Notamacropus eugenii: one gene and its partner. The protein of the gene in region 1 purifies or fractionates together with the protein of each later gene. This does not show direct contact. Links are inferred from orthologs where the notes say so. Each region holds a gene or a part of one and is shown on either strand. Other genes may lie near its edges.

The links.
Region 2: the proteins of SLC7A1 (region 1) and HS2ST1 purify together in Homo sapiens (co-immunoprecipitation; 3 studies listed by BioGRID and IntAct, counting the BioPlex papers as one, with this or other methods). This does not show direct contact. The link is inferred for Notamacropus eugenii from reciprocal best matches to the Homo sapiens genes SLC7A1 and HS2ST1.

The regions. Positions count from the first base shown.
Region 1 is NC_092876.1:197,884,212-197,893,826, reverse strand, and holds the start of SLC7A1 (high affinity cationic amino acid transporter 1), read left to right. Parts: upstream 1-5,313; 5' UTR 5,314-5,455; intron 5,456-6,070; 5' UTR 6,071-6,236; intron 6,237-9,615. UniProt on the Homo sapiens protein: High-affinity, low capacity permease involved in the transport of the cationic amino acids (arginine, lysine and ornithine) in non-hepatic tissues.
Region 2 is NC_092873.1:496,494,955-496,504,568, reverse strand, and holds the start of HS2ST1 (heparan sulfate 2-O-sulfotransferase 1), read right to left. Parts: upstream 3,541-9,614; 5' UTR 3,388-3,540; coding exon 3,264-3,387; intron 1-3,263. UniProt on the Homo sapiens protein: Catalyzes the transfer of a sulfo group from 3'-phospho-5'-adenylyl sulfate (PAPS) to the 2-OH position of iduronic acid (IdoA) or glucuronic acid (GlcA) within the heparan sulfate (HS) chain and participates in HS biosynthesis.

The DNA of each region.
Region 1 (9,615 bases):
AGTCTGTGGTAGAGCATATCGAGCTCATATTGGTGTGATCAGCCATAGCTGGTCACACTGAAACTTCACTTTATCATGGTGATGTCATTTTGGTCCTCTTAGAAAATGAAGGATGACCACCAACCAAGGATAATTACATATGAATTCTGCTAACAACATAGAAAGATAATTAAATCCATGGAAACTGATGACAATACTAAAAGAAAGAATATATATGTGTGGTTGCAGTTTGTCCTTCCTTCTCGAAGAGGACCATGACTTCAAGGAGATGATGATATGACTTGCAATTGACTTTGATTTAAGTGAGGGAGGACTGTGCAAGGTCACCAGCCTCACTTTTTCCTCCAGAGCCATCTGGGTCCAGTGGCCAGATATTGATCAGGATGACTGGAGATGATCCAGGATGCAGTGGGAAAGATACAGACAGAGAGATAGAGAGAAATCCAGAAGAGAGCCTTGAGGAATACCCACAGTTAGGGGACACAGTATGGTTGATGAACCACCAAAGGAGATCGATAAGGAGTGATTAGACAGGTTGAAAGAGAGCCAGAATTGAGCGGTGACACAAAAGCCAGAGAATATTCAGGAGAAAATTGTGGTCAACGGTGCCAGCTGGAGTAAATAGATCTAGAAAGATGGGGACTCAAAAAAGCGCATAAAATTTAGTAATTAAGAGATCACTGGTAACTATAAGTTTGATTCCTTAATCAGTTATTACATTAAACAATATTTCTAATTATTTAGTACAATGTCTAGCCTATAGTAGGCTTTTAATAAATTATTATTTCCTGTTCCTTCCTAAGAACAAACAAGTAATAATAAAGTCACTGAATATACTATTTGTTAATGATTCAATTAATAATAGACATAGATACTTATTTCCAATATTTTATCTGTGAGAATGACTAGCCACTTCAAACTCTCACTGCTACTGCGGATGACTTGTCTTCTCTTTTGAGAATAGTCTCATACTATTTATCCAGCATAACAAATAACTGGCCAGAAAAATATTTGTTTTGAGACAGAAAAAATCCTCAAGATAAAGGTTATAAGTTTCATAAAGAATTTTCACTATTCTCAATCAATTTCTTAAGCACCTACTATGTGCCAGGCACTATGCTAAGAGCTGAGGATTCAAGAAGCAAAATATAGTTCCTGCTCTCAAGGAGTTTATAGTCTAATAGAAGAGACAACATGCCAACAAATATATACAAAACGAGTTATATAAAGAATGCATAGGAAATAATTAAGAGGATTTGGGAAAGACTTCCTGTAGAAGATGAGATTTTGGTTGGGATTTAAAGGAAGCCAGGCAGGATAGTAAGCAGAGTTGAAGAGGAAAAGTCTTCCAGGTTGGGGGTGGGGACTAGACTAGCCAGAGAAAACTTATTTTATTTGGTCTTTCTCTAGCTGTGACAGGAAAATAAGCTCTTCTGCATTGAATGGCAATGGTTACTCTTCAAGCTTTTCTGTGCTTAAAAGAGCCTGTAATAATTTCTCTAAAGAGACATTTGGAAACAGAGGTTACAAATACAGAACTAGACCAATGAGAGTTCAAAACAGGGAGAGAGGAAGACTCAGGTCCTGCCTCTGATAAATATTAGCAGTGTGATTGCAAGTAAGTCACTGCCTATATGTAAAAAATATTTGTAGCCACTCTTTTTGTGGTGCTAAAGAATTGGAAATTGAGGGATGTTTATCAATTGGGGAATGGCTGACCAAATTGTGGCATATGATTGTGATGGATTACTACTGTACTGTAAGAAATGATGAAGGGGGTGGTTTCAGAAAAAAAAAAAAAACATGGCAAGACTTATATGAACTGATGCAAATTGAAGTGAGAAGAATCAAGAGATCATTGTGCATCATAACAACAATGTTGTAGTAATGATCAAACTGTAAAAGACTTGGCTATTCTGATCGATACAATGGTCCATGATGATTCCAAAGGACTCATGATGAAAAAATGCTAGCCACCTCCAGAGAGAGAGAGAGAGAATGGGTGAATTCTGAGTGTAATTTAAAGTATAATTTTTTTTGCTCTTTTTTGTGATATGGCTAATGTGGAAATATGCTTTGCATAATTTTACATAGATAATTGATAGAACGTTGCTTGCCTTCTCAATGGGTGGGGATGAGGCAAGGAGGAGGGGGAGAATTTGGAACTCAAAATTTAAGAAGAGAAGTATGTTAAAAATAAATAATACACATTTTAAAAATTGAGAAGTAAATAAAAGTAAGTCACTATATCTCTTTGCTTCAAACAACTCCCTATGATAGGAGCTCCCAATTTTTATTGTTCCCCATATCTTTCACTTTTCAGTAAATTTTGCTATGCCACCAGTAAATATGAAAGGAAATAAATTCTAGATTTTTCATGCATACATGCATAAAAAATAAAATAGAGATTAACTTTTCTTCTCTAAGGGTACATAAAAAGTTTAGTAACTTTATTGACTAAATCACTTGGGAGTTTCTGGATTATCTCAATAGGATTATGGACATTTTGGACAATGGACTTGTACCCTTTGGGTTTAATGTAAACTACAATTTTAAAATCTCTGCTCCAAGATTTAAGTTAACGGTTGGTGAAAGAGTTAATAAGCTTTCCAAGGCATCTAATTTATTGTTAGGGAGTGAAATAGGTACTAGAAGAATGGAACTGAATAAGTGTCAACAATCTAACATAAAGGAGCAGGACAAAGATAAACTTGAAGTGCTTGCTCTCCCAGCATATTGTCAACCTAGTTAAAGAGATCTCAACTTTTCTATCTTCCTCCCTTTCTCATTAACACAAGTAACCAAGGGCTTCTTGGGATAGTGATGGTTTACATTTTCTTCTCTTGACAGAAGGGCCTTAATTTCTATTGCTTCCCCGCTAAGCTGTAACCCTATCTTCCACCTCTCAGTTCTATCATTTTTTAAAATTATCTTTCTAGGTGCTCAAGAACTAATAATATCTGGGATATTCTGGAATATTGGTTGCTGGTTATTGTAGCCTAATAAATGCTTGGAATATTGCTGTTTTTATATAATATAACAAGGCTTTGATTCAATTCAGCAATTTAATCAATTACTGACTAGGTTCAGGAACTATGCTAGATAATAAAGATGCAATGAAAAAAATTTCCCTGCCCTCTCAAGGCATCTGGAAATATCACTAAATATTCAATCAACACATGCTTATTAAATTTTTCTTTATGAATAAGTCTATTAAGTGCTGGGCACCTCCATCAATCAGTAAACATTTATTAAGTACCTACTGTGTAGCAGGCACTGTGCTAAACACTAGGGATACAAAAAAGAGGCAGGAGTTTACAGTATAATGGGGGAAACAACATGGAAACAATATATAAAAAGCATATATTTACATGTGTGTATATATATATACACACATGTATACATTATACATATAGATATACACAGAGAGAAAGACAGAGAGAGAGAGAGAGAGAGAGAGAGAGAGAGAGAGAGAGAGAGAGAGAGAGAGAGAGAATAGGAAATAACAGCAGGAAGGTTGAGGCTTGGCTGGGCAATATAATAAGGGGGCTAAAGATTCCAAGAGAGGAAGACAGTGTAGAGTTGAATTTGTTCCCCAAGGCATCAAGTTGGGGAAAAAAGTAAAGAGTGGCTAGTGCAGAGGAGATGGCCTGGTGGAGTATGTAATGGTCAGTGACAGGAAGTTACAGTGCAGTTTGAGCAAGGTTTTGAAAGCGAAAACAGAGAGAGAAGTGAAAAACCAAAAAGGCTATGACTGAATAAGGGGATTTTAGAATTCTTGAACACAAAGGTGGTACATTTGTGAGTGATGGTAAGACCAGGTGTATGATCATCTTTGTGTGTGACTGTGGTTGAGTGTAGCAATAGCTCATCCGGGAGGTGAGTGTGTTCAAGAACCGAGTAGTAGTTGTTTGTTCTGGAGGTGAGGCCATGCCATGCAAGTGAATTGGATTTAAGTGAGGCAAGGCTGTGCAAAGTCAGCAGCCTCACTTTCTCCTCTGGAGCCATATGGGTCCTGACTGGAGATGGCCCTGGGTGCATATGGATTCTTTCAAATACCCGATAACTCACTCCTGCAGTCCTGGAAGTATTTGTCCCAGGGTATTTGAAAAAGAATCCATGTATATGCTGAAGTCCCTTAGCCTGAGGGCAGGAATTGGGAAAGACCTCAAACTTGGTCCCCTCCATTCAGTCAGTTCCAGGATCTAATGAGAGGCAGAATCATCTAGCATAGGCGCCTCATATCTGCCTCAAAGTAGAATGAAATATAGCTTTAAAAGGTCAGTGGGCATGTATGAAGTTTGTGCCGCCAGATGGGATACAAAAAAGCAGTCATCTCTTATTATCAATCATTTATTAGTCACCTCTACGTGCCAGTCATTGTGCTGGGTGCTGGAGGTGAGTACAAACGACGAGGCTGGCACAGTGGTGAAACCTATGGCAAGGCAGTGCCCAGGCCTTCTCTGTCTCCACAACTGTCATTGTTGCCTGCGGCTCTGCGCAGAGACCTGCAAACGCTGCGGAAAGGGATGCTCACTCCCTTTTAAAGGGGAGGGTGGGCGGGAGAAGGGGCTATGAAACATTGTAGCGCAGCAGAGCACGCCCGAGAGCTAGCTCGGCCTCTCCTTGACAGCGCTTTGGGATAAGTCAAGGTTAATAGCCAGCAGGCCCGGCTTGGGACAGTCTCTCTGCAGTGCCGACTTGCAGTCTGAGCTCAGGGTCTCCAAGCTGCAGAGGCGACCGAGCGCGGAGGAGAGACCCCAGCGAGGGGTCAGTCCGGGCCCGCGTCCAGGACAAGCGCTCGAGTGCCAGTCTCCGCCCAATGCGCGTCTCCGGGTGGAGATCTGTGGGCTAAGGAGATGCCAGCCACGCCTCCACCCCTCGTTATCTGCCCGCCTCCCTCCTCCATCTTTCCTTTCCTTCCTCTGGGGCTCCCCTCTTCATTCTCTCCCGCCGAGCCTCTCATTGGCGCCAGAGCCCGGGTGACGCTACAGCTGGCGGGTGGGCCAGCCCCGGGCTGGGGTGTAAGTGTGTTAGTGTGGGGAGAGAGGAGGGCGCGGGGAGCTGGGCGGGTGGAGTCTGCGCGTGTCTGATGAAACCCAGCCCCTGGATTTCGTCCGACCTCCGATTTCATTCAGTGAAGCGCGGGGGCCTGGGAGGCGGTGCCTGGAGCTCGGAGGTGTAAAGAGAGGGAGCTGGGCAGCTGAGAGTAGACGGGGAAACTGCCGCGCGTGCCACGCAGCTCCGCTCCGCAGCAGAGGCAGCCACAGCGCGCACTGCCCGCCAGCATCCTCCTCGGGACACCCGCCCCGGTCACGCATCTTCCTCCTGGGGACCCCGTGACAGGCCACAGTGGCAACACCTCCATCCATCCATCCCTCCCAGGCTCTCCCCGCCCCGGCACGCCGCATCCCGCCTCCACCCAGGCGGGCTCCCTTGACAGCCGCCCTGCGCGGTGAGTGACCAGTGCCTCCGCTCTCCTTTCGGGCTGTTCTCCAGTCTGGGGTCACCTTGGTTGGGTGCCCAGGCACTGGCGGGGCTAGGGGATGGAGAAGGGCGCATATGTTGGAGCAGGAAGGGCCCCCGCCCGCCGGCTGGGGCTTTTGCATCCTCCGGAGGGAGGACCTGGGCGGTGGGACGGCTTCGGGGCCAGAGAGGTTTGGGTCCAGCACCCCGGGGTACGGGAACCATGGGGATGCGCGCTGGCTCCACATGCACTCCGTGCGCCGCGGAGTCCATTTTGCTTCCTTAAAGGAGCAGCGTGGTGTATGATGCAATATGTATACTAAGGAAGCGTGGACAGCCGGGCGCTTCACGGTGCCCTCCCCCTTTCCTCCGCGGGGTGGGTCCCCGCGACCCCCGGGAGCCGGGATGCGTAGGGAGCACGGAGGGTGGGCACCGTCCCCGGGCTGAACAGGTTAAAGGCATCACCAGACTGGTGTGGCTCTCGGGAGGGACCTTCCCTTACATGGCGCTCTGCACGGCTCACCCCGCCACGAGGCCCAGGGATGTGTCACCCAGCGCTGCTGCCGTGGCTCCCATTTCCTCCCTTTATTCTCTCCTTCTCCAGCCACCCGGGGTTATCCCGAATCAGGTGGGCGGCCTTCCGGAGGAGCTCCATACGGAACCCAACCCCAGCTGTCTCTGCATCCGCGGCCACCACCTGCACCTGGTCTCTAAGCCAAGGTCGCCCTGTGCCCCTCTCCATTTTGTTCCGTCCAGGAAGATCTCCCTAGGTGGGCTCATGGACTCTCTAGTTGGACTCCCAAAGGCCTACGTAGCTCTAACTTTCACGGCTGGTGGCGGGTGGGTGAGTGGGTAACCTGCCCCAACTTTACGTATCGTTCTCATTTTCTTTTATGCCCGATAAAACTCCACACACTCAAGTTAGATTATGATTAAAAAACTTGCCTGTGCAAAGGACGGGCCACCGTAATTACGGCTTTTGTTTTACTACTTCTATGAACAGCTTTAGTCTCTTCCCCTTTTCAGTGGGTGTGGAAGGTAGGAGTTTAACTTTATTTGATTAGGACAAGGAGCATGTGCTTTCTGTAAAAGAGCTACGTTTACTCATGAACTCACACTGCCATGCTTTCAGAAGTAGTAAAAGCCGGTGACTTGGGTTTGGTTTCCATGCGTAGGTAGAGGAGAAGGTTGTCCAGTTTTACATTTAACTTTTTACGACTGAAATACGACCTACATTGTTTTCCTTTTCATAATGTTTTCATGTGGAACTTTAATTAGTCGTTCCATTTTATCTTCAAGCATCTAGCCCAGTGTATTTGCTTAAATAATTGCAACTGTGCTCTGTTTATTCCCATGACATTTTCAGTTGGTCTCAGTGGAAAACAGCGTCGTCTTTATGGAAACACCCTTTTGTCATTAAAACAAAAGAGCTTAAAGAGTTTTCATTCTAGACCTGAAACTTGGTAGACAAAAAGGGCCAAATAAAACAAAATATTTTGAAGTTGAACCTGATTTGTCACAAGGTTATATTATCCACTAAAAAAAAAATAAGATAACAATTTGCAGATTAATCGAGGAAATTGTAAATGGAAATGTAATAATGACGGCATGAAAAGACATAGGACAGGTTTTGTTAAATAATGGGTCGTAGTTTAATTACCTGAAAAGTGGATCGCAATGGTATTTATTAAATGCCTGTCAAGCATTTGGTGCCCAGCTCCACGGAAAACAAACTTGAAAGACAGGTCAGGTCTCTGACCCTAGGAGCTTGAATTCTAAGAGAGACATATGTTAACTATTTGTAAAGAGGTCTCTCTACCAGTGATTAGGGGAGTGATAGGAGTTACTATCCGTAGTGTCTTAAATCAAGTACTTTGAAAATTAGTTTTGCCTATTTTTGAGATTCCAGATTTTTAAATGGATCATTTCTATACCATTCAATCCATCAAATGTCCTAGAAAGAATATGGGTTTATTTAATCCAGTGAAGAGTTTGAAATAGGAAGTGTGCCTGCTTAGACAGGAAAGTGAATCTCTTATCCATGGGCACTTTCCCTCATTTTAATCTTTGGATTTTTGTGTTAACCTATAACATAATAGAAAATTAGGATGTTAGAGACAATGAGAAACTCACTCTAGTCTCAGGGTCACATTTAATATTTCATTTATATTAGAACTTGACATTTTTTCCAGACTTATTTCCTGTTTTTGAGGAAAGTCAGCCTTACCTAGTTTATATTCCTTGCAATTTAGCAGGCAGTTATTGAGGTCCTACTGTCTGTTGGACACAGTGTTAGGGGCTAGGGCACTTGGGGGACTGGGGGTGGAAATGAAGTGTTCATTCTAAGAGAGCTAGACTTGATTTTTTAAATGTAGGTCCTTTTCCTCCAAGGCTAGCACTGTTTATGCACATTCTTCTTGAAGTCCTGGCACTCACTCTTTGCTGTGTTCTCACACCTTTTACCCCCTCAGCTTCTTCCTTGGTCCCAGGGAATGCGTCATTTTTTTTGACATTCTATCTCTATTGCTTAGCACTGTGCTTGGCATATGGTAGGTGCTTATTAAATGCTTGTTGATTGATCCATCAATCAGGTAAGAGTACTTACAGCACAAAGACCTGAGTTCTAGTCAGAATTTTAACACTTGTCATTCCATTCATTCATCAAACATTTAAGAGTCTACTGTGTTTCATGATGGTGTCTAGTTGGTGCAGTAGATAGAGTTCTGGGCCTGGGGTCAGGAAGACTCATCTTCCTGAGTTCAAGTCTGACCTCAGACATGACCCTGGGAAAGTCCTGTAACCCTGCTTGCCTCAGTTTCCTTATCTGTAAAATGAGTCAGAGAAGGAAATGACAAACCACTGCAGTATCTTTGCCAGGAAAACGCCAAATGAGGTCACAAAGAGTAGGGTACAACTGAATGACTATGTTCTATGATGAATATTTATACCATGCACCATAGATAATAGGTTGAGTCAGAAGGAAACTTAGAGGCATTTACCCCTTAACTTTACAGATGAAAAAATCTGAGGCTCCACTATATGAAAGTCATATATATCATTTGCTGGAAAGTCACACAGAGAATAAATGCTTTTCTTGATTTTCTGACTAAGTTCAGCTTCTGCTCAATGTTGACTAAATGCCTATTGTGTGTTAGTTGTTGGGGTATAAAGACAAAAATGAAGTAGCTCCTACCTTCAGTGTACTTAAATTCTATTGAGGAAAACAACTTGTTGATATACGTACATACATACACACACACATATATATAGGATAAATTAATCCCCTGTATTACCAGTAGAGAACCCCCATCACCTCCTTTGTTACAACTATAGCTACCATTAGGAGATCGTGATCTTGGTGGAAGTAGCTTAGTAGGTTGGGTAAAGATGGCGCAGTCCTGGAAGAACCTTTGAGAAAGACTTTGGTTGAATATAAGACCATCTTAGTTATCAGCCTAACATTAATCAGTCACCTATCATAAGGCGGGAGGGCTGGAGCTGATAATCTCTTCCTGGGGCTTTCTCATGCATGGCTTCTGCATTCTCCTAGCTTTCCTGACCTCATCATGCTAGACCTGGGAGCTTCTCTCTTCTATGCCAGTCTGGGTATTTTCCCCTTCTCCTATGATTCCCCATAGGATTGATAGTAGTTATGTTTAAACCTTGTGCAATTCTCTTGCTCCTTGAATTGTTCGCTGGAGCCAGAGATTATGGTAAACTCAGTCCTCTATTTAGGACATGGCCAGAACTATGTCCCTTACCTGAGTATATGAATATGCTAAAATGGGCTCCACACACCTCTACTGATCTGAGAGGGTCGCCAGTCCTGAGTTCTGAAACGTAGCTTTTACCTATGTCTCCTGCATTTGGGATTTCAGAAATAATATTCCTTCCTTAAAGGCATTTATCTTTTTGGAGGGTTAAGCCCAGTGTCTGAGGTAAGTGTCTGAGGCTGGATTTGAACTTAGGCCTGCTAGTTCTATCCACTCTGCCACTAATGGCATCATATTTAAAATTATTTGACTTTCAGGTGGGGATAAAATTTGCTCAGTTATTTAGCTTTAATGGAGTTTTTTTTTTCCTGGTAGGTAACAGTAACAATACAATCAAATACTTATGGATTTGTGATTTCATAGATTTTGATATTTT
Region 2 (9,614 bases), on another chromosome or scaffold:
AGCTTGAAAAAGGCCAGAGGTTCCACATTTGCAGATTTCCTCAAGGATGATAATTTAATAGAGCTTAAAGCATTTGAAGATTTTAAGCAACACACAAACTGAAAGGTCATGCATTTCCTGAGCTATGTCCATGGCACACTGAAATTACTTATTACATGCCTCAGTTTATCCCTGAAGGCCCTCATGTCCACTACTAGAGCCCTTCTGAAGGGTGTTCGTTGTCATCTCTGGCTATTCATGGTGGGACTGACGAATAGCCTTTTTTTCTAAAAATAATCCCCACATAGATGATGCTTCATAACACTTCCTGAACAAGATGGTATCATACACCCAAGAAAAATAAACATACCCACTTTACAGATAAATAGTAAGTCACATAGTTTGGCAGTCAGGAAGTCTGTTATAACTATAGTTAGTCTTTTCCACCTTTAAAACCACTCTAGAATCTACACTCAGGTGTTATTAAATACCTTCTTCAGACAAGAAAGGGAAATTAAAAGTTGAGTAACCATTCTTCTACTGTGTTTTATTAACATTCTGGAGGGCTTCAAGTTTGCAGTGTCTGCATGTGGCATACTAAGGATCTCATTTAAATTATGCAGAAGTAAAGTTTGCAAATACTTTTTGTTCATTAAAGCTAAATGAGGCAAATTAATATAATAATAGTAATAGATTACACTTGCAAAGCTCTTTGAGGATCTGTAAAACATGCTGCATACAGTATGTCCTTTGATCCTCAAAGTGAACCTGAAGTAGATACTGATAGGATCCCAATTACACAGAAGAGGTAACCTGGGCTGAGAGAGGCTGTCTAGTCTGAAGAGTCACAGATAGCGTCTGACACCAGATTAGAACTCAACGCTGTCATGCCTCCAAATCCAACTCTCTCCACTAAAGCAAGTTGCCTCCTATAAACTACAAAAATAAAACCATAGATATGCTAAAATTATAAAGGCAAAATGATATTCAATCAATAAGCATTTATTAAGCACCTTCTATGGACACTGTTCCAGGGAAGAGAAAGATGAAACAGTGGCTACCCTCAAGAAGCCTTCGATCTATGGAGGGTAGAGAAGATACACAAACATGGGTATGTACAAAAGAGAAGGTAATTTGGGGATCTAGGCATTAGTGGATAAAAGATGGGGAAGGGGGGCAGTTTTAGCTAAGCCTTGAAGGAAACGGATTCTAAAAGGCATGTTCTGTGCAGGAAAAAAAAGAAGGGAAAGGTCCATTGAGGCAGATGGGGCAATGCCATTAGATGGTAAAGAAGCTAAATTACTCACCTCACATGCAACACTTCATCACCTGTCTCTCTGTCTCTGCAGTTCCTCCCTCTTGGAATATACCCCCTCCTTACTTCTCTCTGTGTGGCTGAACAGAAGTGGGTATGAAGAGTAACACTGATGGAAAGGTAAGTGGGACCAGACTGTGAAGGACTTGAAATGTCAAAGGAGTTTATATCTGACCCACAGGTAACAGTGAATTGCAATTGCTGGCGTTTACTGAGACGAGCCATGTATGTCACCTTGGCAACTAAGCGGAGGATGGATTAGATGGGGAGAAACTTGAGGCAAGGAGACCAAAGAAAGGGCAATGGCAGGCGTCCAGGCAGGAGGGATGGGCTTGAACTGGGGAGCAGTTGTATGTGAGGGGAGAGAAGATGGATGTGAGATGTTGAGGTAGAAACTGATTTAAATCAAAACTTAGAAAATACTTTCTCTTACAGTCATTTCGTTGTACATCCTGATAACATCCAATTAAATGATGGCAGCGTCCCCACAACTACCTTCATATGTAAGTACAGAGAAGAAACAGAAATTGGTTTCAGTTCTTTTTCTAGTTTCTAAATACACCTCTTGTCACTCAAACACACTAGTATTTAATGTGCCTTATTACAATGATCTTTAAAACTTTCTGTAGCTTTCTACAGAATGTACTTCAATGACACTCCTGTGTCAGCTTAATTCAATTCCAATATCAAAGGCCTGTTATTGGCAAATGACTACATGTGGTACTGGAAATATAAAAACAAACTGTTTCAGTCTTGAAGAAACTTACATTCTGAGAGGGAAATTATTAAAATTCAAATGAGAAAGTTTTTCATTCTAATCTAACATTCAATGTACTCTACAACAACCCTGAACCTACCTAACAAGCAGCTTGGTGTGGTGGATAAAAAGCAAACCTAGAATTCGGAAGACCTTGGATTCAAACGCCACTTTTAACCCATCTCTCAGTATTCCAGGCAGCTCTCTAAGACCCCAGGTTGCAAACAAGGTGCTGACCCTCCAAAGGACTAGGGATTTTCCACACCCAAAAAGTTCCCCATACCAAAGAAATCACAAGTCCTACTCATTCCTAAACATGTATCTCCATAAGGTTTATTTTAACAGCTCCCTTTCTGTTCTTTATTCCAAGTGATGTACAATTTACCAAACCCTTTTATAAAGGGGAAGGAGGAGCACTCAATTCAAGTAGTTAGCCTAAGACACGTTTACATCTACCTAAATCGGTACCTTCGTGATTGTTTTGAAATGTAAATTTACAAACCAAAATACAGCCCAAAATTCAACTACAAGCCTACATTGAGTTTCTTCTCCAAGCATCTCCCCAAATAGCTAACACTTTTCTGTTCTTTTCACCCAGCCCACTAAAACTTCCTGCGTTCTCTTCAGACTTCCTGATGCTCGGGGGTCTCTGGGGTCCCCTTTCATCCATTTTATCCATCAGAAGGGAAGCTCCACGAGGGTTAAGGGGCTGTCTTTCTTTCTGCTTGTATTTCTACTGCCAGAGTGAAGTGCAGCGCCCGGCTCGTAGTAGGGGCTTCATCTCTCAACTTATTAATCCCCTCCCAACACCAATGCACACTCGCATTCTCTAGGAACTCGACCCAACGGAGTAAGTCACTTTGGGGGGATAGTCTGCTCTTGCCCTTCCAAAATCCAGCAGAAAGCGCTACGTTTGTCCGAGCTGGCCGCGGCTCCCGTCCGGCTCGGAAGCCCCTCGCGCCTCCATCACCCCCGAAGTCTCAGGACTCTGAGCCCCGGATCCGCGGCGCTTCGGGCGCCCCCTCCCCACGAGCTCCCCGGGCCCCACCGTGAAACCGACTCGGGTCCATTTCGCCGGCTCGGAGCCTCGGCTGCCGCCCCTCCAGCCTCCGGCCCCGGCTCCCCGCAGGAGGACTCCAGTGACCCCGAGACAGCCCCCGGGGGGACAGAGGCATGCCCCGCCGCAGCCCCGGGAGCGCCCCCGCCCCTCACCTAGCTTGGAGCGGGACTCTTCCAGCTTCTGTATCTGGTTCTCCAGAAAGAGCATCGCCACGGCGAAGGCCACCACCGCCAGCAGCTGCGTCTTGGGCGGCATCATAATCCTGAGGAGCCCCATGAAACCCGCCGCCGCCGCCGCCGCTGGGATCACGACATACCGCGGGGGGGCGGGGAGCGAGGCCCCGGGGGGCGGGGAGCGAGGCCCCGGGGGCCGGGGGGGGGGGGGGCGCCGGCAGGAGCGAGCCGGAGCCCCGAGGCCGGCGGAGCGGGAGCCGAGCGCCGCAGCAGCAGCTCCTTCCTGCCTTCCCTCCCTCCCACCACCCGCCCCCGCCCCCGGCCACCAACGCCGACGCCGCCTGCGCCCGCCGGGGCTCCTCAGCCTCGGCAGCCGCCGCCGACCGCAAGGCCCCCGCGCTCCGCCGCCCTCGGGCTCTCGCTTCTCCCAAGCCGGAGCAAGCCCGGCACCTTCCCGGCTCGCTCCCTCGCTCTGCTCACCCGCCTCCCTTCCCTCCTCCACTGCCTGCCTCCCTGCCGGAGCCCAGCTCCAGCACCAGCACCGAGGCTGCGACTGCGCCGCCCTCGGCCCCGCCCCCCCGCTTGGGCCCGCCCTCTCCCCAATACGCACTCACGCACGCAACTCAGCAGCCCCGCCTCCCGGCCTCAGCAAACACTCCGCCCTCCCTTCCCAACCTGTCCTCGCAGCCGCTATTGGACCCCGCCTCTGCCACCGTGTTTGTAGGGGGTCTTTCGCTCGAAATTACGATTGGTTTGCTCAGCTGCCATTAAAATTAGCGCAGGAGGTGATTGGCTGGCTAGGGAAGGAACGAGCGTTTAAGGGGCCCCTCAAAAGGAATAGATTTGTAGGGGTCCCAATAACGTGCCTGACCGTAGGGGAAGGCGAGCAAATCAAAAAGACTCTCGCACCCCCTTGATATTGCAGGCGGCCGCCCCCGGGAGTTTTGCAGCCCATCAGATGGCTCGGAAGTGGGCCGCTGTGCGCGGCGAGCTGAAAGCTAACGACACTGAGCGTCAGGCTCAACGCCGGCCACCCCAGCGGAGGGGCCTTCGGGCCACGTCAGGACCCTAGCATAACGGCGGCGATAGCGGCGATGGCGGTGAGCGCGCAGCGGGGTTTTGCTCCGGCGTTCGGGCTGCGGCTGCTGCTGGCGTCCGTGCTGCAAGCGGTGAGTGGCGGGTGCCTTCGTAGCTGCCTGGGGGCCCGGAGCGAGGGCCTGGGGACCCGGAGCGAGCCTTGGGAGCCGCGCCTGAGAAGGGCTACGTGGCGATATCCGGCCCCGCCTGGCCTCTCTCCTCAGTCTAGGCCAGGCCTCGTTCTTGCCCGCCTCCCCGGGCCCAGTCTGGCTATCGTCGTTGAGCTCTTTGAATCGCCTACTGTGTGCCAGTCCCTCTGTGCTAAAAGCTGGGGGTTAAAGAAAAAGGGGGGGGGCGGGCTATGTCTTCCTTCAGAGGGCTTACGGTCTAACAGGGAAGCAATAGGTAAATACGTACAAGTAAGAATTAGAAAGCGTAAATTAGAAACAGGAAAGCGCTTCATATAGAAGGTAGGATTTTAGTTGGACCTTGAAGAAAATGAAGTGACGGCATTCCAGGCAGGGGTCGGGAGGTGGAGCGTCTTGTGTGGTGAACCTCTAGAAGGGCCGTGTCACGGGGTCACAGTCCAGGAAGACTGGAAAATGGGGGGGCTCGTTATGAAGGGCTTTGAACCCCAAATAGAGTATTTCATATTTGATCGTGAAAGTAATAAGGAGCTGCTGGAGTTTGAGGGGTCACAGTCGATAAACATTAAGTGCCCGCTGTGTGCCCCATAAAATGCTGGGTGCTGGTCCTTACCCTCTAGTCTGTGGAAGGTATATAAGCATGTACAAATATAAACCAAAAAAGAAAATAATGTGAAGTGCTCATAACGTAGGGAGTCAGGAAAAGCATCGGGAGGTGGCACCTCAGCCGTCCTTTGAAGAAGCCAGAGATTGGGAGGGTGTTCCAGATGTGCAACGACAGGAGAGGAAGCTTTGGCTTGTTTGGTGTGTTGGAAACAGTTCTTATAGTGTAAACTTTCTGTCTCCCTGATACTTAGTAGCACTTACTCATTGGTGTGTTGGAAACAGTTCTCATAGTGTAAACTTTCTGTCTCCCTGATACTTTGTAGCACTTACTCATTGGTTGTGTTGTATTCAATCCATCCCGTCAATTCCCAGTAAGATTAAAGAATGTATCAGAAGTCGGGCAAGGGGCGGCTGACCCACTAGAATTCTAAGGCAGCTTCTCTGAGACCCAGAACCACGCTGGCTTGCCTCCTTGGTAGAGAAGAGATCTAAATCTTTCAGTTCTTCTAACCTTCCTAATCTCATCCTACCAGCTCCTTCTGCCCTTTGGCTTCATTTCAACTAATTCCCTTTTCATTCTCTTCTTGGGACTTGCCCTGCCCTTCAAAATGAATAGATTGCAGCTAAAATTTCTGATTTTAAACGCCAAATGCTTGAATAAGTGCTTGACTTAAAAAATTAAGCACCTAAATGTAAAGTGTGTAGTTGTAGTAGTAATATCAGCAGCTCACCCTAGTCTTGCACTTAATGATTCCAAAAATACTTTTTGCAGAGTGACTTATTGCTGTTCTTTCTCTAACCTCCCCTCCTTCCCAGTGCCTCTTGCTCCACTCCTCCCCTACTCCAGTAGAACACTCCCTTGTACACTGAGTGTCCATTTAAGCATACTAAAGCAACATGGCCTTGTCTGGATGCCTCACATCCCACTTGTAGTCTGCCACCTTTCGGCTTTAAAGCAGGAGGCGTGGGTTATTGATAGTCCTCTGAAGTTATGGTTGGTCAGACATCGATCTGAATTCAGAAATCGTCCACCCTTGTTTTTCTCTACATACTGGTAGTCATTTTGTATTTTCTCCTGGTTCTTCACCCTTACTCTTCATCACTTTTTCTCAAGTTTCTCTGAGTTCATGTTTCTTACAACCCAGTAAGATTACAGAAGTCTCACTCTCTTTCTGTTATGCCACACTTAACTTTTCCACATTGAAAAGTGAGTACACATATACACACAGTACTCAAAATGCCTCAAGTTTTTTTGTTTTGTTTTTTGTATTCCAATAAATACCCATATATAGAAAATTTAGATTTGTCTATGCAATTGAAACATTGCTGCCTGCCATGAGCTTAGTAGAACACAGTTTTAAGAAGTGTTTCTTAAAGGAGGGGGAAGTAAATGTCTCAGTATTGAGGCAGTTAATACCAGGAAGGTTCCTTGATGTGATCCAAGTTAAGAGGTTTTTGGGTAGCATCAGGTTACTGTTTACACAGTATGAGAAAGCTGAACTTTCTTCTTCTTCCGTTCGTACCTTCCTGCCCTTTAAATGATGCTGCCACCCCAAAGGAACAAAATCTGAAGTTGCTTACCGTATTTTGATCTTGTGGTAGTAGAATAATATGCACCATGATGGAATAGAGCTGCTCTGCTTGGGGAATCAAGGGACAGCAGTTCTTTGTAGCATGGCTACCTAGTACATGTGAACTTGGCAAGGCATTTAATCTTGTGGGGTCTCCGTTTCTCTATAAAATCTGCGGGTTAGACAGTTATTAGTTGGACTACTAAAGGCAACTAAAGATTATCTTTAAGGTTTCTTCCAGCACTAAATAATATGATCCTAGGAAGTAGGTAATTATAGAACCTTTTGAAAAAGTGAGTTAAATGACATTTGAAGTGAACCAGTCTTAAAATTTTATCCTGATATCACTCACCCTTAACACTCCTTTTTTCTTGTAACTTTCATCCTTCTTTTCCGTTAATACCAAAAGGCCATACACTTTCCTATGAATTCTTTGAAATTCAGTAAGTTATAACTCATAATAGTCCAACCTCATTTTGTTCAAGACCTACTTAATTTATGTCATAGGCGTAAAATTACAACTAAATAAAATCTGTCTTTAAGAGTCTTTAGTGGTACAAATAAGATCAATTTATGTCAATAAATGCTAAATGTGATTCTCTCCAAAGCAAGAATTGAGTTTGAGGTTTCTTTTTTGAAAATTGAAATCTAAAAATACTGGTACTCTGAAATTTTAGGTAATAATCAAAATTATTTAAAGACTATACATTTTTTTTACTCTAGATATGTTTGGGAAATATCTAGCATCAAAGTGCTAGATAAATGTGAAACACTACTATTATTATTACATACAGTTTCACAACCAACTGGACATCAAAATGTTTGCCTAAGCTTGGTCTGGAGCTAAATTTTCCCCTGAAGAACAACATTAGTTACTTAACCTCCAGAATGTTCACCCTTTCTCTTTGTCACTAGCTAAAATTTGGACAGCGTTGTCACAAGGATAAATGGCCAGTCTGTATTCTGGTGGTAGTTTTGTAAGAGTGTCTCTGTGGTTTTCTAGGGTCCTTGAAATTACAGTAAATTGCTGCTTCCTTCACTTTGGTTCCCAGAGTGCTGTGTTTTAAGGTAGAATGCCTAGATGCAGAAGTGAAGAGCCGTAAATCCCAAACTAATGGTTCTTTAAAGTTAACATTTGAGAAAGTGGACTCTTGTGCCCCATGAAGTGGCTACTTTTCTGAAAGCACATTCTAAGTGTTCTTAATCTTCAGGAATGGAAGTATTCAGTGTGACCTAGGGGAGCTGTTTTCCTCAAATTTGAATTATACAAATCAAACTATCATCTCAATCTCAGACAATTTGTGGATGGATGTTCTTATAACTGTAAAAACAAAACTCTAGAAATCATGATGTCTGTATTATAATCCAGAGCTCTTTTTGTTCCCTTCCAAACAAATGTAAGCATACAGGGAAATGGTTAACTGAGGTTTCTAGTCATGTATATGGATTAATGTTTATACCATTAACATCTTTAAGGAAAAAAAATACCTCAAACACTTTAGTCTCTTTCTAGAAATAATCAGTAAATCTAGTCTTTTACAAAAGAGTTGACTTTACAAAGCTAAAAGATACCTTTGAATACTAAATAAGATTACATGATTTAATGATGACATTGTATTTTTAGCCCTCCCTTCACTCACTCACTCTTTTGTTAAGTCATTTTTCAGTCATGTCTGATTCTGTGACCCCATTTGGGGTTACCTTGACAAAGATACTGGTGTAGTTTGCAGGTTTGTTCTTCAGCTCGTTTAACAGATGAGGAAACTGAGGCAAACAAGGTTGAGTGACTTGCTCAGGGTCCCATAGCTAGTAAGCATCTGAGGCCAGATTTGAACTCAGGAAGATGAGTCTTCCTGACTTCTGTCCCAGTGCTATGCACCATGGCGCCACCTAGCCGCCAGACTTCAGCCAGACTGGTTTATTTGCTGTTCCTGCTTTCTCCATTCCATGTCTTGGCACAGGCAAAATTGATGCAATGCTGAATGCTCCATGCTAGGAATATACTGTCCCCTCACCCCCCCTGATTGGCATCTCCAGCTTTCTTCAAAGCTCTGCTCAAGTACCACCTTGAGCAAGAGGTCTTTACTGACCCCCTCAGCTACTAGTAGGGCCTATTCCCACAAAGTAAAAACAGTTTACTTTCTATTTATTTATGTGTAGACATACACATCATGTTTATGTGCCCCAGCCCCTTGCACAGTGCATGGCATATTACTAGTCACAGAGTAAATGTTTATTGATTTGTGCATATTTTGGATTAGGTTAAATTCATTTAAATCATTTAAAATTTTGTTCAGGAGAATAAGTAAATCACAACATGTAGCAAATTTAGATATCCTGATGATATATTGAAAAGCCTTTGTTCTATATTTTAATATGATTCTGTAAAAAGTAATTACAGATTTTTCTTTGAGGACCTACGTCTGGTCTCAGCAGAGATTAACAATCAGAAAAGAAACATTTAGTAAATGTCTGCTTTGCCCAAAGTGCTGGGCCAGGTTCTGTGGAACTTGCAAAATGTGGCTAAAACACCGTCCCTGACCTTGGAGCTTCCAGAGCTAGACTGTGCATGCCAAGGGGAGAGAGACAGACACATTTCATGTTTTCAGTTGAAGTTATAGTTGAAAGTACTATAAGCTTTTTTCATATATTTTTAGAGCCCTCTCTTCCTTCAAGATGCAGCTATTATCCCCTCCATCTCCAACCACCTTATGTTTATTTTGTAGGTATTTATTCACATATACGCATTCACCCCCACCCCCACATTTCTCCCCCTATGTGGAATGTAGGCTTTTTGAGAGTAGAGGCTCTTCCATTCTTTGGATTCCATCATGCCAGGCCCAGAATAGGTGTTTAGTAAACACTTATTGGTTGAATGTGTTCCCTGTGTCTTTTCAGATATCTGCACAAGGATCTGAATTATCCTCAGA